2 linked regions of the Daphnia pulex genome follow. The protein of the gene in region 2 interacts with the protein of the main gene of each other region in a biochemical or structural test. Links are inferred from orthologs where the notes say so. Each region holds a gene or a part of one and is shown on either strand. Other genes may lie near its edges.

Evidence for each region. The genes of interacting proteins can lie anywhere in the genome.
Region 1: the proteins of trifunctional enzyme subunit alpha, mitochondrial-like (region 2) and trifunctional enzyme subunit beta, mitochondrial-like are reported together in a solved structure, tested with the Homo sapiens proteins (2 studies listed by IntAct, with this or other methods). The link is inferred for Daphnia pulex from reciprocal best matches to the Homo sapiens genes HADHA and HADHB.

The regions. Positions count from the first base shown.
Region 1 is NC_060022.1:3,662,712-3,667,041, reverse strand, and holds trifunctional enzyme subunit beta, mitochondrial-like, read right to left. Parts: upstream 2,803-4,330; 5' UTR 2,692-2,802; coding exon 2,643-2,691; intron 2,462-2,642; coding exon 2,278-2,461; intron 2,220-2,277; coding exon 2,032-2,219; intron 1,966-2,031; coding exon 1,603-1,965; intron 1,545-1,602; coding exon 1,414-1,544; intron 1,353-1,413; coding exon 1,220-1,352; intron 1,153-1,219; coding exon 1,070-1,152; intron 1,010-1,069; coding exon 859-1,009; intron 793-858; coding exon 704-792; intron 486-703; coding exon 441-485; 3' UTR 279-440; downstream 1-278. Other genes in the region: 39S ribosomal protein L32, mitochondrial-like, read left to right, coding at 1-16, 96-218; all trans-polyprenyl-diphosphate synthase PDSS1-like, read right to left, coding at 3,266-3,487, 3,561-3,755, 3,828-3,959, 4,037-4,126, 4,189-4,330. UniProt on the Homo sapiens protein: Mitochondrial trifunctional enzyme catalyzes the last three of the four reactions of the mitochondrial beta-oxidation pathway.
Region 2 is NC_060020.1:8,451,029-8,455,112, reverse strand, and holds the start of trifunctional enzyme subunit alpha, mitochondrial-like, read right to left. Parts: upstream 2,863-4,084; 5' UTR 2,789-2,862; intron 2,701-2,788; 5' UTR 2,536-2,700; coding exon 2,472-2,535; intron 2,289-2,471; coding exon 2,076-2,288; intron 2,013-2,075; coding exon 1,926-2,012; intron 1,846-1,925; coding exon 1,757-1,845; intron 1,696-1,756; coding exon 1,445-1,695; intron 1,383-1,444; coding exon 1,178-1,382; intron 1,117-1,177; coding exon 941-1,116; intron 881-940; coding exon 713-880; intron 616-712; coding exon 393-615; intron 319-392; coding exon 119-318; intron 51-118; coding exon 1-50. UniProt on the Homo sapiens protein: Mitochondrial trifunctional enzyme catalyzes the last three of the four reactions of the mitochondrial beta-oxidation pathway.

The DNA.
Region 1 (4,330 bases), on a different chromosome or scaffold from region 2:
TGATGAATTCTTCAAGGTATATATTAACTATTAGATAATAATGTAGAGTAATATTAATTTCAAACTTTCCTCATCAATATCTTTTTCTTTTATAGGATAACAAAGTGATTGAAGTGGAGAAACCTCGACCGAAATGGTTTAGTAAAAATCTGCTTCAGAAATCAAATGCAAATGTTACCATTGAAACTTCAACTATAAAGCCTCATGATTTAGGCTAATTTCTATTTGTGTGAGACCTAGAATAGTGTTTAGAAAATAAAGTGATTTTGGTCAAAAAATTTGCTATTTCACCATTTATTCGATCATAAAAAATCGTTTATAAGGCGATATTACATAATAAAAATCGCCCATATAGTTTTCTAAAGAATGCACTCGAAATGAGAGCTGGATGAAAGATTGCATTGCAGTTTGCTTTTAATTCTCTTGTGGATAAGACTGGTTTATAACTTGCCATCTGGGTGCCGTTCAATGATCATTCCAACGCCCTGCAACAAATAAAAGATATCATAAAAAATTGTACCCAACATATACTGTTCCAAAATGGAAACTCGCAACATCTGGAACCCTGAGAGTTGGATTTCTTTTCTATTGGCACGGTCAAGATCGCACTGGGAAGAATCCATATGCAGTAAATACATGACGATCCCCACCGGTGGATTACGAAGTGCCGTAGTGTTCCAAAATAAATAAATTTCATTCATACCTGACCACCTGCGGCACAAGCAGCAATGCAGGCGTATTTACCGTCTTCATGAATCAATCGATTGGCCGCATGAATCGCCAGTCGAACTCCTAAAAATCAATAATGGAAAACGTCACCGACAATATTTTAATAAGATAAAAAAATTGTGGAAAAACCTGTAGCTCCGAATGGATGACCAATTGAAAGAGATCCACCCCATAAATTGAACTTGTCAATATCAGGAGCACCAACTTTACCAGGTCGACCCATGTAGGTCTTGCAAAACCAATCCGAATCCATTGCGCTTAGATTGGACAAAATTTGAGCCTGCAGAGACGTGGATTATATTAGATTATCCGATTCATGAACATGAAAATCAACACTTACAGCAAAAGCTTCATGGACTTCCCACACGTCAATATCACTCATCTTTAGTCCAGCTTTGTCCAGGACGCGAGGAGTAGCATATGCTATAAAATTATTAATTATTAATTAATTATACTATAAAATTAAGTGAGTACTACATATCCTACATACCAGGACCCAACAGCAATTGGTCTTTCGGGTCTTGACTGACGTAAATGAAATCTCTTAGGTAAGCCTTGGGTTTCAGTCCCAACTGCTTAGCCTTTTCTTCGGTCATCAGCAAACATGCCGAAGCACCATCAGTCTGACAGAAAAATTTCGCATTAGCAACAGTTAAAACACACAATAAGGTTATCAAAACGTACCAAGTAAGACGCGTTTGCTGCAGTCACTGTTCCGTGAGGCTTGATAAAAGCTGGCTTTAGTTTTGCAAGTTGTTCAGATGTAGAAACTCGGATACCATTGTCGCCAGTGATGGGTTTATCTTGGCCAGGGACTATCGATTTATAAAAATGTAAGCACGGTAAGAACTAGGAAAATCAAGACGTGCATACCTTGATAAGGTACAATATCAGAAAGTAGGCCCTTTTCAGCTGCATCGTGGGCGAGCTGATGTGAACGAAGAGCAAAAGCGTCTTGATCTTGTCGACTTATGTTGAACGAAGCAGCCAAGCGATCGGCAGAGTGACCCATTGTTTCACCGGTAGAAAATTCTGCTACAGCTGGAAGCTCAGGAATCAAAGACTTCATATCAAGCTGAGCTAGTAGTGAGAGGCGTTGACCGAATGTTTTAGCTTTATTTGCTTTGAGCATGACGCCGCGCATTTTGCGGGAATGACGAATGGGTACGTCCGACATAAACTCAACGCCACCAGCTACACAAACGTCGTAGACTCCGGAGTGCATGTAACCAATGCCTAGTTAATACAAGAATCAACCGTAAGAATCAGAAATATCCTGACAATACAAAAGGGAACACTTACAAGTTGTCATGGCTTGATTTGAACTAATACAAGCCATTGTGACTGTATGAGCTGGTGTCTTGTCAGAGAAACCAGCTCCAAGAGCAGCTTCTCTGGCAATATTTGAAGTTTTGACTTCTTGTATCACAGTGCCAAAAGCAATGTATTCAACAAGCTCTTTGGGAAGCCCAGTTTTCTGAACCAAACCCCTGTAAGTAATTGCTTATTACATTATCAAAGGAAAATTATTTGCATTGAAATACATACAGTAATGCATTCCGGGCCAGATCATGAGGCATAAGTTTCGCATAACTTGTCCCAGACAGCAAAAACGGGGTTCTCACAGCATCAACCAACACAATATTCTTTTGGTTAGGTCTGGCTAATGAAAGTTTGGTTTTCTGTTTAGCCGCGTAAAGGGCCGGCATTCCGGTGGAAACATTGCGCGTTCCTTGAGAAGGTTTAGGAAAAATAAAACAGTTAAAATACCGGTAGTGACTTATCAGTTATCACAACTGTGACGAAAATCCGACGTTAGGAAAATGAAAACAGAAATGGCGAAACACTAATGTGATTTCAAAACTGAGAAAAAATACACGCCCTAAAATAAAATGCATTTTGTTAATTTTTACCTGTTCGAAGAAATGCAACCGCATTTACACGAGAAATTTGGGCAGCCATCCTTAAACGAGAGTATCTTATGGATGCAGAACACCTACAGCTGTTTGCTTTTTCTCGTGTTTGCTAATTTGCTTTAGCAACGATGTCAGCGCTCTCCGGTGAGCAGTGGGGATAACTGGCTTTCGAGAACTATTTTGTATTTGACAAACTGGCAACTCAGAAATTGAGTGGGAAAATCAAAAGCTCCAAATTTGAGTATGCAAATAGGATCGTAGACTGACTGGACTGCAATTGGAAACGAGTTTTTGTTTTGCTGTGTGCAATAAGAGCTAATTCTGGAATCCATAATTTAAATTCTTATGGGGAAATATTTTTCTTTTTAACTTTGATACTTTAATTTCAGCCTTTAACAGTTTTTGCTATCGTTTAAAAAAATATAATGTAGTGAGGATTTACAATTATACTTAGTTTTTTATTCTTTCACTTTATTAGTATTTATTTCGTTTATATGATTATTTCCCTCCAATATTTGGGTGTTCATTTATACAAATGGAAATCGCAATAAAATTTACCCAACACGAGAAGTATTTGAATATTGTTGTGATTGGTTAGTATTTTTTTTTTTTTTCGATCCTTACTTCATCCGGTTCAATAATTCGTGGGTCAATGTAAATAAAACTTGTTGATAAGGCGATGGCGATAGTTGAGCTAATTGAGTCACGGCGTCATCGCAATATTGGCCAGCCAATTCTTTAGTTCGCTGTAATCCGTCAGAACGAAGGACTAAGTCGAAGGCGGTTTCAACATCTCCTGGCTCTTTGAATCTTCTTAGAATAAGCGCATTAAGCTCTGGAAACTAAAATCAATAGTTGTATCATTTTAGAAAGTTTCGAAAACTTGGCAAAACTGAACCAACCAGTCCTGCGTACCTTCCGTGCAGCATACAAAACTGGAGCAGTGGCCAGTCCAAGGCGTAGATCAGCTGCTGCTGGTTTCCCCAGTTGCGCAGAAGTGGAAACAAAATCCAACAAGTCGTCAACCAATTGGAATGCCATTCCCAGTTGCCGACCAAATTGAAAAGCGCTTGTTTGTGTAGCTGAGCTAGCTCCAGCGAGAACCGAAACCTTGATACCAACAATTATTCTGATCGATTAAAGAATCTTATATTTTTCTAATGATTTTAAGGAATGTCGTACTGCTTGGCAGCTATTAGCAATCAGACTAGCGGTTTTCTTAAAGGTTTTTTCCAGGTAGTGCTCGAACCTCTCCTCTGCGTTTGCGCTACCGTCGAGTTGCATTAGTTCTCCACTAACCAATTCAGAAACAATCTGCATCATTGTTTATAAGAATTAGCTTCGCGTTCTGAAGATTTGAATGAATGAATCGTCGTTATCGTTTTTACTACCTTAGTTATCAAGTTATAAACTTCGTGGTTTTCGATTGCAGCGCACATCTCAATCGAACGCCCAAACACATAATCACCCGCTACGATCGACTATAAAAAAGGAATTATTAAAAAAAAAGGGAAAATGTTTCGAAAATGTTGACTTTTGTCACCTTTCTTGGGCCCCAAACTTTGTTCACAGAGGATTTGTTTCTCCTACTGTCAGCCGCATCAATCATGTCGTCATGAACCAAAGAGGCTGTATGAATCATTTCGACAATTTGTGCCACCTTCTTCTGTTTTTCAACCACATTT
Region 2 (4,084 bases):
TTTTGCCAAGTTTATCAATCTTCCTTGGATCAGTTCCTTCTAGAAGAAGTCTAAATAAACAATAGTAGTTTGATGGTAAAGGAAATCAAAATGAGCACAAACACTTTTAAACATCTACCTGTGAGCTTCAGCCATCATGAATGAAAGTACACGTGAAGTATAAAAACCAGGACCATCCCCTACTATAATAACGACTTTACCCTGTCGTAGTCCCACGTCAACGGCCGATGCAATTGTATCACGCGATGTTTTGGGATTTGTTATAATCTCCAAAAGTTGCATCTTATCGACTGGAGAAAAATAGTGCATACCAATGACCTATTCCCCCAAAAATTATACATTAATTAAATTAATATGTATGCATTAAAGCCATTTAATTAATTTCGAATTACTTTTTCCGGACGCTTGCTGGCTTCTGCTATTTTTGTAATTGGTAAGGCACTAGTATTCGTGGCAAATATACAGTGTTCTGGGATGAGCGCTTCTACTTCTTTGACAACACGGTGTTTAAGGCTCAAATCTTCAAACACAGCTTCGATAACCATGTCACAATTTTTGAACGCATCGTAATTTAGGGTACCCGTTAAGTTTGAGGCAATACGGTCACGCTCAAAACTGATAATAAAAAAATTATGTTTACCTTTTGTTATTCTCCAATGAAATTAAAAAAAAAAAAAAAAAAAAAAAAACGAAACAAAACAATATTTTATACCTGGTAATTTTTCTCCTTTTCATGGATTTGTCTAAACCCGCATATACTTGATTTAGGCCTCGAGATAAACCAGCAGGTACAGCATCTTTAAGCAAAACATCAAATCCTTTAACAGAAACTTGGGCAATACCAGCACCCATTAAGCCAGCGCCTATTATCCCAATAGTCCTAGAATCATTCGAAGTAATAAAGATTATACACTGGAATAATTTATTAAAAAATATTTACTTCGTCGGCAAAATTGGTTTCCCAAATCTATTCTTTTTGCATTCAGTTTGACCATGAAATAAACCAATTAATCCACGTGATTCCTTAGTGACTGCCAGTTGTCCAAAACCTTGATTTTCAGCAGCATATCCAGCTTCCAATCCTTTATCTAAAGTTGTTCTAATTACTTCTAGAATCTAAAAGCAACATTCACTCAAAAGTTACAAGGTATTCTAATGATGCATTATTTTATTTTACCTTCAGAGGTGCTGGGTACAGCCCATTTGTTTGCTTCATTACTTTGGCTTTGGCCTTTTGAAAAATTTGATCTTTCACCAGGTTATACTTCAATGCAGCCGCAAATAAACGATCAGTGATTGGTTTTTCACGTTTAACCTTCAATGAACCAGAGGCCAAATTTCCAGCAGTACGTACAGCTACTTCTTCTAAATGTTGCAAAGTTCTAAAAAAATTAAAGTATAACAATCAATAAAACAAACATATTTTTTCTTTGGCAATGTTTACTGATGATCAGGTTTATCTAATCCTGGGCCCAATGGCTGCACAGTCAGATCAACAAGACCAAGCTTTTTAGCTTTGTCTGCTTTGACATTTTTGCCAGTAAGGATCATATCCAGAGCAGTAAGAAGAGATGTTAACTGCGGAAGGCGTTGAGTACCACCACCACCAGGCAAGAGACCTAAAAGTACTTCTGGTAATCCCAAAGCAGTCTTATTCTCATTCACAGCAATCCTGTAATGGCAAGCCATGGCAACCTAAACATTTACATTGATGATTATGAGACAATTTTGATTCATACAACTGTAATAATCTGACCTCAAGTCCTCCACCTAAACAGCTGCCCATGATTGCAGCTACAATGGGCTTTCTACTGTGTTCCATTTCCATCAACAAATCCTGACAAGCTAAAAAAGTAGAGGTTGCATGAGTTTTCAAAATTAAACAGCAAACAATTAAACAACTAAGACCTAGCTCAAGTGATTACCTTTTGAAAGCTGAGAAGCTTCCTCAGCTGTTTTACATTTCTGGAGCATTGAAATATCAGCTCCAGCGATGAAACAACCTGGTTTTCCTGATGATTTAAAATTTGGTTAATAACACAAAAATGTACAACAACAGGCTTTTGAAAAAGTACCTGACATCAACACAGTGGCTTGCACATTTGTATCTTTAGTAATCATGTCCATGATCTCTTTGACTTCAGTCATGGTTTCAACATTGAGTGTGTTGACTTTGGAGTTTGGAGAGTCAAGTTTGACAATGGCGATTCCATTTTTAACCTCGTACTTGGTATGTACATAACCATCACACCTTCTTGATGTTGAAAGATGACGTAATGAAAACTTGCCTATGTTGCAAAGTTATATATAAATACTAAAAATATTTATTTCACATGGTAACTCTGCACATTATAATAAATAGAGTAAGACAGATCGAAATAATCAGTCTGTTTTTAAATACTCATAGTGTTTGCATGAACACTGAAGGTGCCATTAGTTTTTTACGACATAATTTTGAGGTCTTCACTTACCCAATGGCAGGTTGTTAGGAAAGCTTACAAATTTGGAAATGGAAATTAATCTGCTGGTAGCCATCACAGATCGCAAATTGATTTCCCGCAGAGGAAACAAGAAATGAATAAGAAACGTAGCCGGTACTGCGGTAGTAAATTAGTTTCTAACACACCCGTTTGGCGTCTGCAAAGCACCGGGCCCAGCGACTGATAAAAAAACGTCGCCAAACGGCGTGCGCTGTAATTTCTGTGTAATCGAGGAATTTATTGATAATTGATAAACAAAAAAATCCCAAAAAAAATTAAACATGCGACAATAGAGAATGTTGTAATACATATTTAGCACGGTTTGTTAAGGAACAGAGATTTTTTGGTTTTCCGGCTTTCCGTCTAGGCGAGAGCACTCTGGTGTGTGTGTAGCAGTGCACCAATCAGAAAATTCCTTTCAAAAATTCATCAACGAATCACAACAGACATCTGATTAGAGCAAAATAGCAAGAGCCAAGAAGCCAAAACTAGTGTCATAGTGAAAAACGTTCTGCTGTCGAAGAGGCAAAAGTGAATAGCGGTCTGTCTTCTTATAAAGTGTGCCCTAAAAGAAATCATGTGTTTAGGATAAATTTTTATTGAAAAGGTACAATTATTTATTTGTCATTCTCAGATTCACTATGTATTACAAGTTAACAATGAATGACGTATACGTGAAACGTGAGACAACATTTCAGAAATACCGACAGGGGCTTAATTGAAACAAGTAAATGTTGTCCTGTGAAAGGGGTCTTGTCCAGCAGTTTAGTGTACAGTAAGGGGAATTGTCAGTTAATTTATTGCTGAAAGGTTGTTGGTGGTCAAATCTATTTTCTTTTTCTTTTGAATCGTACATTGAGAAATCTATTGGCCTCCGGAATCCGGGAGCGAGCCAATAAACAATCAGCTGTTGGCCCCTGCCGATAGGGGGCTCGTTGGCTTTTGGCGTTGGCGTTTATAGGTGTTTACTTTTGAAGCGTCATTCCAGTTAGTATTTTAATATTTTCTTTAGATTAATTTTTTAGTGTTAGAAAAATTCAATTATATCCGTATTCCGTTCCACTGTCGCTTGATAAAATAAATAAAATAAGTTCTAGTGTCGGGGGTCGGCCCGGAAATTTTTCCGTTTTAGTGCCGTTTCTAGTGTCAGATTAAAAAAGTTCTTGTAGTTTCTCGTTTTAGTAACTACACTACACGAAACCAAAAACTAATTTTGTCAAAGCGACATACAAAATGTTAAAGTAAATATGTTATTGTTAATAACTTTTAAATTCCGATACTAGAACGGGAAGCTTTCATTCGACTCGGGTAGGGAACATTGTCAAGTCTGAGACTTAACGTCCAAAGAAAATATTAAAATGCCAACTAGAATGACGTTTTAAAATAAAGAGTAAACACTCAATAACCAGTTAACCACCTACTACAACGCCCCCCCCCCCTTGCTGCAGGAGCCAATAGCTGAATTGTCTATTGTGTAACCATATGACGCACGTAAATTATTTTTCTGAATCATGAAAGAATACAAAATTCAAAAATAACATTGAATAGCGTTACGTTGAAAAATATTTTTCCTCTTGCTTGCATTTTATAAAACTTCCAACGTA